2 linked regions of the Canis lupus familiaris genome follow. The protein of the gene in region 1 purifies or fractionates together with the protein of each later gene. This does not show direct contact. Links are inferred from orthologs where the notes say so. Each region holds a gene or a part of one and is shown on either strand. Other genes may lie near its edges.

The links. The genes of interacting proteins can lie anywhere in the genome.
Region 2: the proteins of CDK5RAP2 (region 1) and PDE4DIPP2 purify together in Homo sapiens (affinity purification with mass spectrometry; 3 studies listed by BioGRID and IntAct, counting the BioPlex papers as one, with this or other methods). This does not show direct contact. The link is inferred for Canis lupus familiaris from reciprocal best matches to the Homo sapiens genes CDK5RAP2 and PDE4DIP.

Annotation. Positions count from the first base shown.
Region 1 is NC_049232.1:73,962,116-73,965,794, reverse strand, and holds the end of CDK5RAP2 (CDK5 regulatory subunit-associated protein 2), read left to right. Parts: intron 1-2,652; coding exon 2,653-2,699; intron 2,700-3,063; coding exon 3,064-3,120; 3' UTR 3,121-3,160; downstream 3,161-3,679. UniProt on the Homo sapiens protein: Potential regulator of CDK5 activity via its interaction with CDK5R1. Negative regulator of centriole disengagement (licensing) which maintains centriole engagement and cohesion. Involved in regulation of mitotic spindle orientation.
Region 2 is NC_049238.1:57,721,508-57,725,559, forward strand, and holds the start of PDE4DIPP2 (myomegalin), read left to right. Parts: upstream 1-1,249; 5' UTR 1,250-1,264; coding exon 1,265-1,671; intron 1,672-4,052. UniProt on the Homo sapiens protein: Functions as an anchor sequestering components of the cAMP-dependent pathway to Golgi and/or centrosomes.

The sequences.
Region 1 (3,679 bases):
GGACCCCGTGCAGGCCACGTGGTGCCAGGGGCGGTCCTCTCGCTGGGGCGGCGGGTGCCTGGCATCTGCCTTGACCGGGACCTTGACGTGACCTTGGCCGGGGTGGTAGGGAACAGGGGCAGGGAAGTGGGGGGGGCGTGGGCTTCTTGGACAGAGGGACAGCTGGGCGGAGCCCGCGGAAGGGGCGGTGTTGGTCAGACGGAGGGGGCGGCGTGGACACGGGCCGACGGGCAGCACGTCAGGCTATGTCTGGGAGAAGCCTCGAGCGGTCCGCGCGGCGGGTGGGGGGGTCACTGGCCAGGACTGCGTCGTGAGAGGCGTCGGGGAGCAGCCCCGCGGTGCTGGCGTGCGGGAAGGGCCTGCTCGGCTGCCCCCGGTCCCCCGGCCAGGCCAGGAGGAGGGCCCCGGCCGGGGGACTGGGGGACCGGCTGGTCTTGAGAAATACTTCAAAGGCGGACCCGGGACTCGGGCTCCGAGAGGCTACGGGACACTGGTAAGGCGAGCGCTGTCCCTGCCGGGAGCCGGGGTGGTGGGCCGCCGCTCCCTGTGCCCGGAGAAGCCGTGGGCCACCTCGGCCCGGGCCCACTCGCTGTGTGGTGGCCCCTCGCGGCTCCGGGGGCACCAGGCTGCCTGTGCCGCTCCTGTCGGGGGCCGGTGTTTCGGGGCATTTCTGAGAAGCCCAGGGCATAGACTGCTGGTGGGCATGGTTCCCCTCAGCTGTCCCCCAGAACCTTCTGGAAGCCGACTCCGTGACCCTGGCAGGGTTGGACGCCGGGTCGTGCAGCGGGCACTCACTTTGTGCTCCGTGCCCCGTGCCGGGCCTGGCACAGAGGCGAGGGGGCCGCCCTCCAGCACAGGGCCTTGGCTTCAGGGCTGACATGAGAGCCGGCTGCAGGGCCATGTCCTGGGGTCCGACTGCGCGGGTCCGGAGGGGCGGGTTGGCGTGGGCGAGCGGGCGGGCACAGATGGCGGCAGGTGGCCTCGGGGTGAGCCAGGAACATACTCAGGATGTGCCAAGGGGCCTGCTGAGAGACAAAGCCAAGTCGCCTGGTGGGACCGGGGCAGGGGGGTGGGGGGCAGGGCACGGGCTGGTGCAGTCCCTCTGTCTCGGAGGGTCCCCGCGGCTGGGGGGGGGAACGGCCAGGAGGCACAGGAGGCGGGGCGTCCTCATGGTGGCAGGAGGTCGGAGGCCGCCCCGTGGGTGCTGGCTGGCCTGGGCGCTGGCTGGGCCCCACGGCACGCGTGTCCTGAGGAGCCTGGCGGGCGTCTGGGGCGGCACCCATCGTGGAGCACCCGTGGTGGAGCCCTTGGCCAGACCCCGGGGGTGGGGGTGGAAGTGGCCCCGGGGCCTAGGACTGCGGCGGCCTGTGTCCGGGCGCACGGGGCTAACGCACCTGCTGGCCGGGGTCAGGGGCGGGCTCCCGGGATCCAGAGCACCGAGCCCGGCCTGGGCCCTTCGCCACAACCCTGGTGCCGTTAACGAGCGCAGTGCAGGTCTCTCCCCGTGTGACCTGCAGTAAGTGACGTTCCCTCCTGAGCTGCGGAGTCCTGTCCCCGACACGCGGGGGTCGCTGGGAGGCCTCGGCTGCCCCGGCCTGGGTCCTGACCACGACTCTGTAAGAACTGCCCGCTTCTCGTCCGGACGGATGGTGACACCCAGACCCCGCGGTGCACGTGCCCGACAGACACGGCCGGTGTCTCGGCCCCCTTCCCGAGCTTGCACGGGGTCCGTGTGTGGCGGGTGGCCGCTAACTCGGTGTCACCCTGTCTACCTCCAGGCCTCGGCCACAGCCCACCGGGGAGGGGCCGTGACCCCAGGGCCGGGCTCTGCCCCCCCCACGTCCCCGGTGGGGCGAGTCCTGAGAGGAGCAGCCCCTGCCCGCGGCGAGGGTTCGCGGGGTTGCAGGGGCGCAGGCGGTGGCCCCTCTGGAGGCAGGGCTGGCCGGTTGAACAAGCGCCCACCGCCCCAGTGTCTCAGATTCGCCAACACCGTCACTCGGGAGATGTGTTTCCTCGGGCCGGAATCCAGCGTTTCCCCAGGCCGTGCGTGGTCCCGCCCTGAGGGTGTCTCGGGGACCCGGACGGCAGGATTCCGGGTTCCCGGCAGGGGCGGCTTCCCAGTGGCCGGGGGGTGGCTGTGTTGGGCGAGAAGAGGGTCTGGGGCGGAGGTGGCACCCGCGGCCTGGGGCCCCTCCACAGTGCATCCCGGGAGTGTGTCGGGTTCTAGCAGCTGCAGGGCCCAAGGAGAAAGGGCCCAAAGGTCATGGCCTTGCGCAGATTCACGTCCGCTCTGCGCTGGGACCTGCCTCTGCGGCCCTCGCCGTGGCCCTTAGCGCACGGGTTTTCTCAGAGTCAGCCACGGGCCCTGCGCTGCACCGTCGCCCAAACCCGTAGGGGTGACCCGGGTCCCCGGGTGCCCGCAGGCCTTGCTGAGCCCGCAGCGGGCCGGTACCCGCGATGTCCTGGCCTCGCACGAACTCGCGGAGGCGCCTCTGGCCCAGTGGGCGACGTGGTCTCGGCGCGCGTGATGGGTGGAGCCTCCCACACCCGCCTCCGCCTCCGGTCTGGGCGCCCCAGGCTTGTCCGCAGGGGGCCTGACGCCCGGGGCACCCGTCTGACCGTCCCTCTCTCTCTCTCTCTCTCTCTCCTCAGTGGTCATAACCCACAAAGTCCTTCGGAAGGCCAGAGGGAACCTGGAGGTAATGCCCCCCGGGGTCCCTTAGGGAAGGGGGCCCGGGGCGGGGGCACCGGCCAGCAGATGACCTCGTCAGGAACCGGGGGCCAAAGGGGACCAGGTGCGAGTCCTGCACCAGCAGCTGTTTTCCGCCGGCAGCACAGTTTCACGTGGTGGCGCGGCTCAGGCCTGGGGTGGTGGTCGCGGTCGCGCTGCTGATCCCCCCGGGAGGACGGCACACGCCTCAGAGGAGGGAGCATGGCAGGCGTCGCTGCCGCTGGTGCCGAGAGCGCTGCCTGCTCCAACAGCGTGTCCCTGAAAGCGCGTTCACTCGGCCTCAGAAGCCCTCTGCTGGACCTAAAACTCTCCTTTTCTCCTCCTTTTCGCAGCTGAGGCCCGGGGGCGCCCACCCTGGAACGTCCAGCCCCAGCCGACCGGGCTCCTGAGACCTCCTGCCAATAAAGCTTGTGGTTCCCGCCGAGCGGACGCTGTGGCTTGTTCCCCGGGTGGGTTCCAGGTCCCGGGCGCTGGCTGCAGGACTCTGCCTCCCCTCGCGGCGTCTGTCCCGCGGCCGGCCTCAGGGGGCTCGTCACCGGCGTTCGGGTGCCGTCGGGCTCCGCACTGGGCCTCGGGCCGCCCCACCCGCGGCGCTCAGCCGCTCTGCAGCCTCAAGGTCCTCGTGGGGCCCTGCAACCCCGCGGTGCGCTCATTCCCAGCAGCGCCTGGAGCCCCGGGCCTGAGCCGCGGGGGCGGCCGGGGTGTCGGCCAGTCACGTGGCCGGCGAGGAGTGGGGTGGCCGGGCGGTGCCTGCATCCGGCCTGCGCAGGGGGCGCATCACCTCCGGGCAGGCCCCAATGGCCTCCTAGGACGAAGGGTCCACGTGAGGCCCGGCGTGGAGACTCGTCACGGTGTCCCCGGGGGGCGGCGGCCTCTCCAGCCCACTGTCCCTACACTGCCCCGTGTTGGCCGCAGCCTCTGTGTGTGACTGGCCCGTCCTTGTCCTGA
Region 2 (4,052 bases), on another chromosome or scaffold:
GCAAAGAATGATGTGGTAAAGAATGAATGGGAATCAGGAAGTATAGCTATCAAATGAATACAGTGTATTTAAGCAAGTTGGTTATGAAGGGAAGCCAGAGATGATGGTGGTTAGAGGTTGAGGTGGGAGGACTCTATTTTAGGCATGAGGAGACTTGGGGATGTTTATAGCAGAGGGGTGGACTTAATGGAGAAAGTGATGCCAAAGATATAAAGACAACAGAAGATAATTAAGAGTCTCTAGCAGAGATGGGAATGGTAGGGTAAATTGCCCAGGTAAGATAGGTTGAAGGGAAAACAGAGGTAAAGACAGATTAAGCTGGGAGGTTTGAAAGAACGAATGGTGAGATACCTGATAGTGCCATTTTCTGGAAACATTTGGAATCCTGATTGGAGGGAACACTCAAAGAAATAGTAAAGAAGTAGAATTAAAGACTGGATGAGGCGAATGAGTGAGAGAGATAAGTCTCTGACCGTGCCCAGGTGAATGATAGTATTGGGTTAAAAAAAGGGGGGGGGGGGAGGACTGAACAGCAGGTTTGGGAGGAAAATGTGTTAAGAATGAGTTTCTTTGTTTACACTGAATCCATCAACAGTCCATATTGACTTTTGCCTGTAAACTTTGAGATCCATGGTGCCTACTACCAAGATGAACCTCTGTTGCAAGCCGTGAGTATATAGTGCAGCAGAAGCATTTCGCTCTGCTAGATTCTGAATAGCTTCTGTTGTTAGAGGACACTGGGATATAAGAAAGGGCTTTTCAGAAAGAACATTAAGTGGAGGATTTATTTGACCTACGAACTTTTTTAAAACCATGAATACATCCCCTTGACTTGATATTGGAGATCAAGTGATCTATACTTTGAGTTCTTTATGAAAAATGGAAATCAGAGTCTCAAGGGAAAGAAAGAAAAACTGTGTTTTTTCTGGGGGAAAGGTTTTGTTTGTTTGTTTTTACAACAACAAAAGGGAAAATTGAGAGGGAAAAAAAGATTTTAAGAGGGAAAAAGAGGGAAAGCAGGAGAAATGGGGTTAGCCAGGGGCCTGGAAAAATAGTGACTCTGAGCAAAGAAAGATGACTGAGTTGGAGGGAGGAGGAAGGCAAAACCCAGGAAATCACAGGGAGAGGGCGTGAGAAAAAGAGAAACATTTAAGGTGGGAAATTGAGGACAGTGACCTTGGAGGAGATTGGAAGACAAAAAGGAGTGCTATCGGGGATGAAAAGGTTTGCAGATTGAGGTAGTGGGTGGAGAGAGAATGGGTTGATGAGAGGGCGAGGAGGCTGCGGCGGTGTTTGTGCGCGAGGCCCCGAAGCAGTCTGGGCGGAGCAGGTGGCAGAGGCAGCCGCGGAAGAGGCCTGGCCCTTGCAGGTTTCCGCCACCATCACGTCTGGAGGATGCTCCCGGGCGGCGCGGGAGGACCGTAGGAAGACCGAGGCCAGGAGGACCGCGGTCGGGCCCGGGAAATCCATGAAGAGGGCGGACGGTGGGTCCTGCTGTCGCCGCCGCTGCCCCGCGCACCTCGCGCCTTACCGGTCCGGGGACGCGGCGCGAGCCCCGCAGCCCTCTCTGCAGTCTCCGGGCCGGGAGCGACGGCATCCCGAGGCGGCCGGCAGCTGGGCGGCGGCGGCCGAGGAGGAAGAGGCAGCGGCGGCCGCCGCACCCTGGATGAGGTGAGAGCGCTGCGGGAGCCGGGGGGTGGCGGCGCGGGCGCGGGGCGCGGGGCGCGGGGCGCGGGGCGCGGGGCTGGGACCCAGGGCCCGGCTATCCCGCGCCCGGGAGGGATGGGCGCCGACTCACAGCAGCTTGGACGGGGTCGGAGGACACCCAGGAGGAGGTCTTGGGGGGCCGATGCGCTGGTGGCGGGGGAGAGGGGGGAAGAGCGGTGGGGAAGTTGCCTAGAAATAAAGATGTGCTGCTGGATTGTGCTGGACTAAGGCTTGGGAAACGCGTCTCTCTCCCAGGTCTTGACACCCGCTCTGTCGGTGCCCATGAAGTTGAAGGCCATACCTACTGGGTCGAGTCAAAGGAGAGATCAACACAGGATGCAGAAGCCATGCCAGGGTGGAAGCATTAGGGACACCGAGCAAAAGGAGATAGAGGATCAGGAAATGTGCACGGGTGTACCGTTGAAGGAGCACCCATTGCTTGCTCTTACACCCTCTTTTTTTTGTTTTTGTTTTTTTAATTTACGTGGTTTTTATTTACCTAAGATATAGCAGGGTGGGGTTTGGTGATGGTTCTTTCTTTCTGGGCTCTCTTCCCCTGCGGAGCCCGAGGGAGCTGGAGCTCTGCCTGTTGGCCGGATGAGGCCGTACAGAACAAGCTCCACTTAAATTCAGCCCCTTCCTTTGCACTGAGATGGAAGACTGGACAGATTAGGCCTACATTTTCTTCATGTAGCATTAGCAGCACAAAAATCTGCCATGCATATGAGTTTTGGGAGGAGAGACAGATTGTGCTATTGGCCATTTTTGAAATAAGCGTTTCTTTGTCTTGGCATTTTTAGCTTATTCTTTTATGGGAACCCAGTACTCATAAATCAGACTACAAGGCAAGAGTGTCTTCAGTCTCTAAGCTACCGTTAACTAACTAGGATGTGAAAAAAAGGAGCTTGATTTCCCTAGGCCTCGTTTCCTATGCTTAAAAAATCACAGTTTCGATCTTTTGAGGATTAACTACAGAACTAGATATTAATGGAAACTGCTTTCTGTGTTCAGGACTAGGCTTTATTTGTGAACTGAGAAACTAGTTTATTCACACTTAATTGTATTTATTCATCATACTGTCCACTGTGAGAAAAAGGAGTCAAAGACATTTAGTTAACAGTGCTTAAAGGAATCTATTTCTATTTCTAGAAAGGAATCATTTCTATTAAGAAACTCATAAAAAGATGACTGCTTTTAAGAAGGAATGAGGCAGCACCTAAAACTAATATAACACTATTCATTAACTGGAATTAAAATAAAAACTTAAAAAAGAGGGAGCACCTAGGAGGGTCAGGTCATGATCCTGTGGTCCTGGGATGGAGCCCCACATAGGGCTGAATCTTCTTCTCCCTCTCCCTCTCCCTCTTCCATTCCCCCATACTCATTCTCTCTCTCTCTCTCTCAAATAAATAAAATCCTTAAAGTATAACTTTAAAAAAGAAGGAAGGAGGCAAGAAGCACTCATTATTTGATTTTTTTAGAATGTGGAATTTTAGTCTAAACAATTACTTTTTCTTAAATGTATCTCTGTGGTGTTGAATATTTTTCACAGACTACTTTGGATTTTTTTAAAGCTTGAAATTTAAAAAAAATCATGTGAATATGTATTTATAATTTAAAGTCTTCTTAACTGTTTTATACATACTGGAGTGAATTATTTTCATAAAAAGGAGCATTGCTATTGCAAAATTTAAAATAGATCAAGACTCCTTTTATAAAAATGTGACTTTTCATACTGTCTTTGGTAACAAAAAGTTTATAGGGTTCTCTAGTTGTGTTTTAATTGTTAAAATAGATAGCACACTTTCATTATTTCCCTAATGGTTATTCATCTGGCAAATCTCTACATCTTAGTTGATATAATGATGAGCCTTGAAACGTTTTTAAACATTTCAGGAATTCCCAAATGAAGCAGTGTCAGGAACTTCACTGAGGTTGCTGCTACTCTGGCCCTCATTTAAAAATCAGTTCTTGAGTGCCTGAGTGGCTCAGTTGGTTAAGCCTCCAACTTATGATTTCAGCTCAGGTCATCATCCCAGGGTTGTGAGTTTGAGCCATATGTTGGCTCTGCAATGAGTGTCGAACCTGCTTGGGATTCTCTCTTTCTACGTCTGCCCCTCCCTGCTTGCACGCTCATGCACACATGCATTCTCTATTTAAAAAAAAAATCAGTTCTCTAGGAATGTGTAGCATTTATTTATTTATTTGTTTGTTTATTTATTTATTTATTTTTAAATAGGCTCCACACCAACTGAAAGTGGGGCTTGAGATCAAGAGTTTCATGTTCACCCACGAGCCAGAGGGGCACCCCTTTACTTTCAAAAACATACCTGTCTTATCTATAG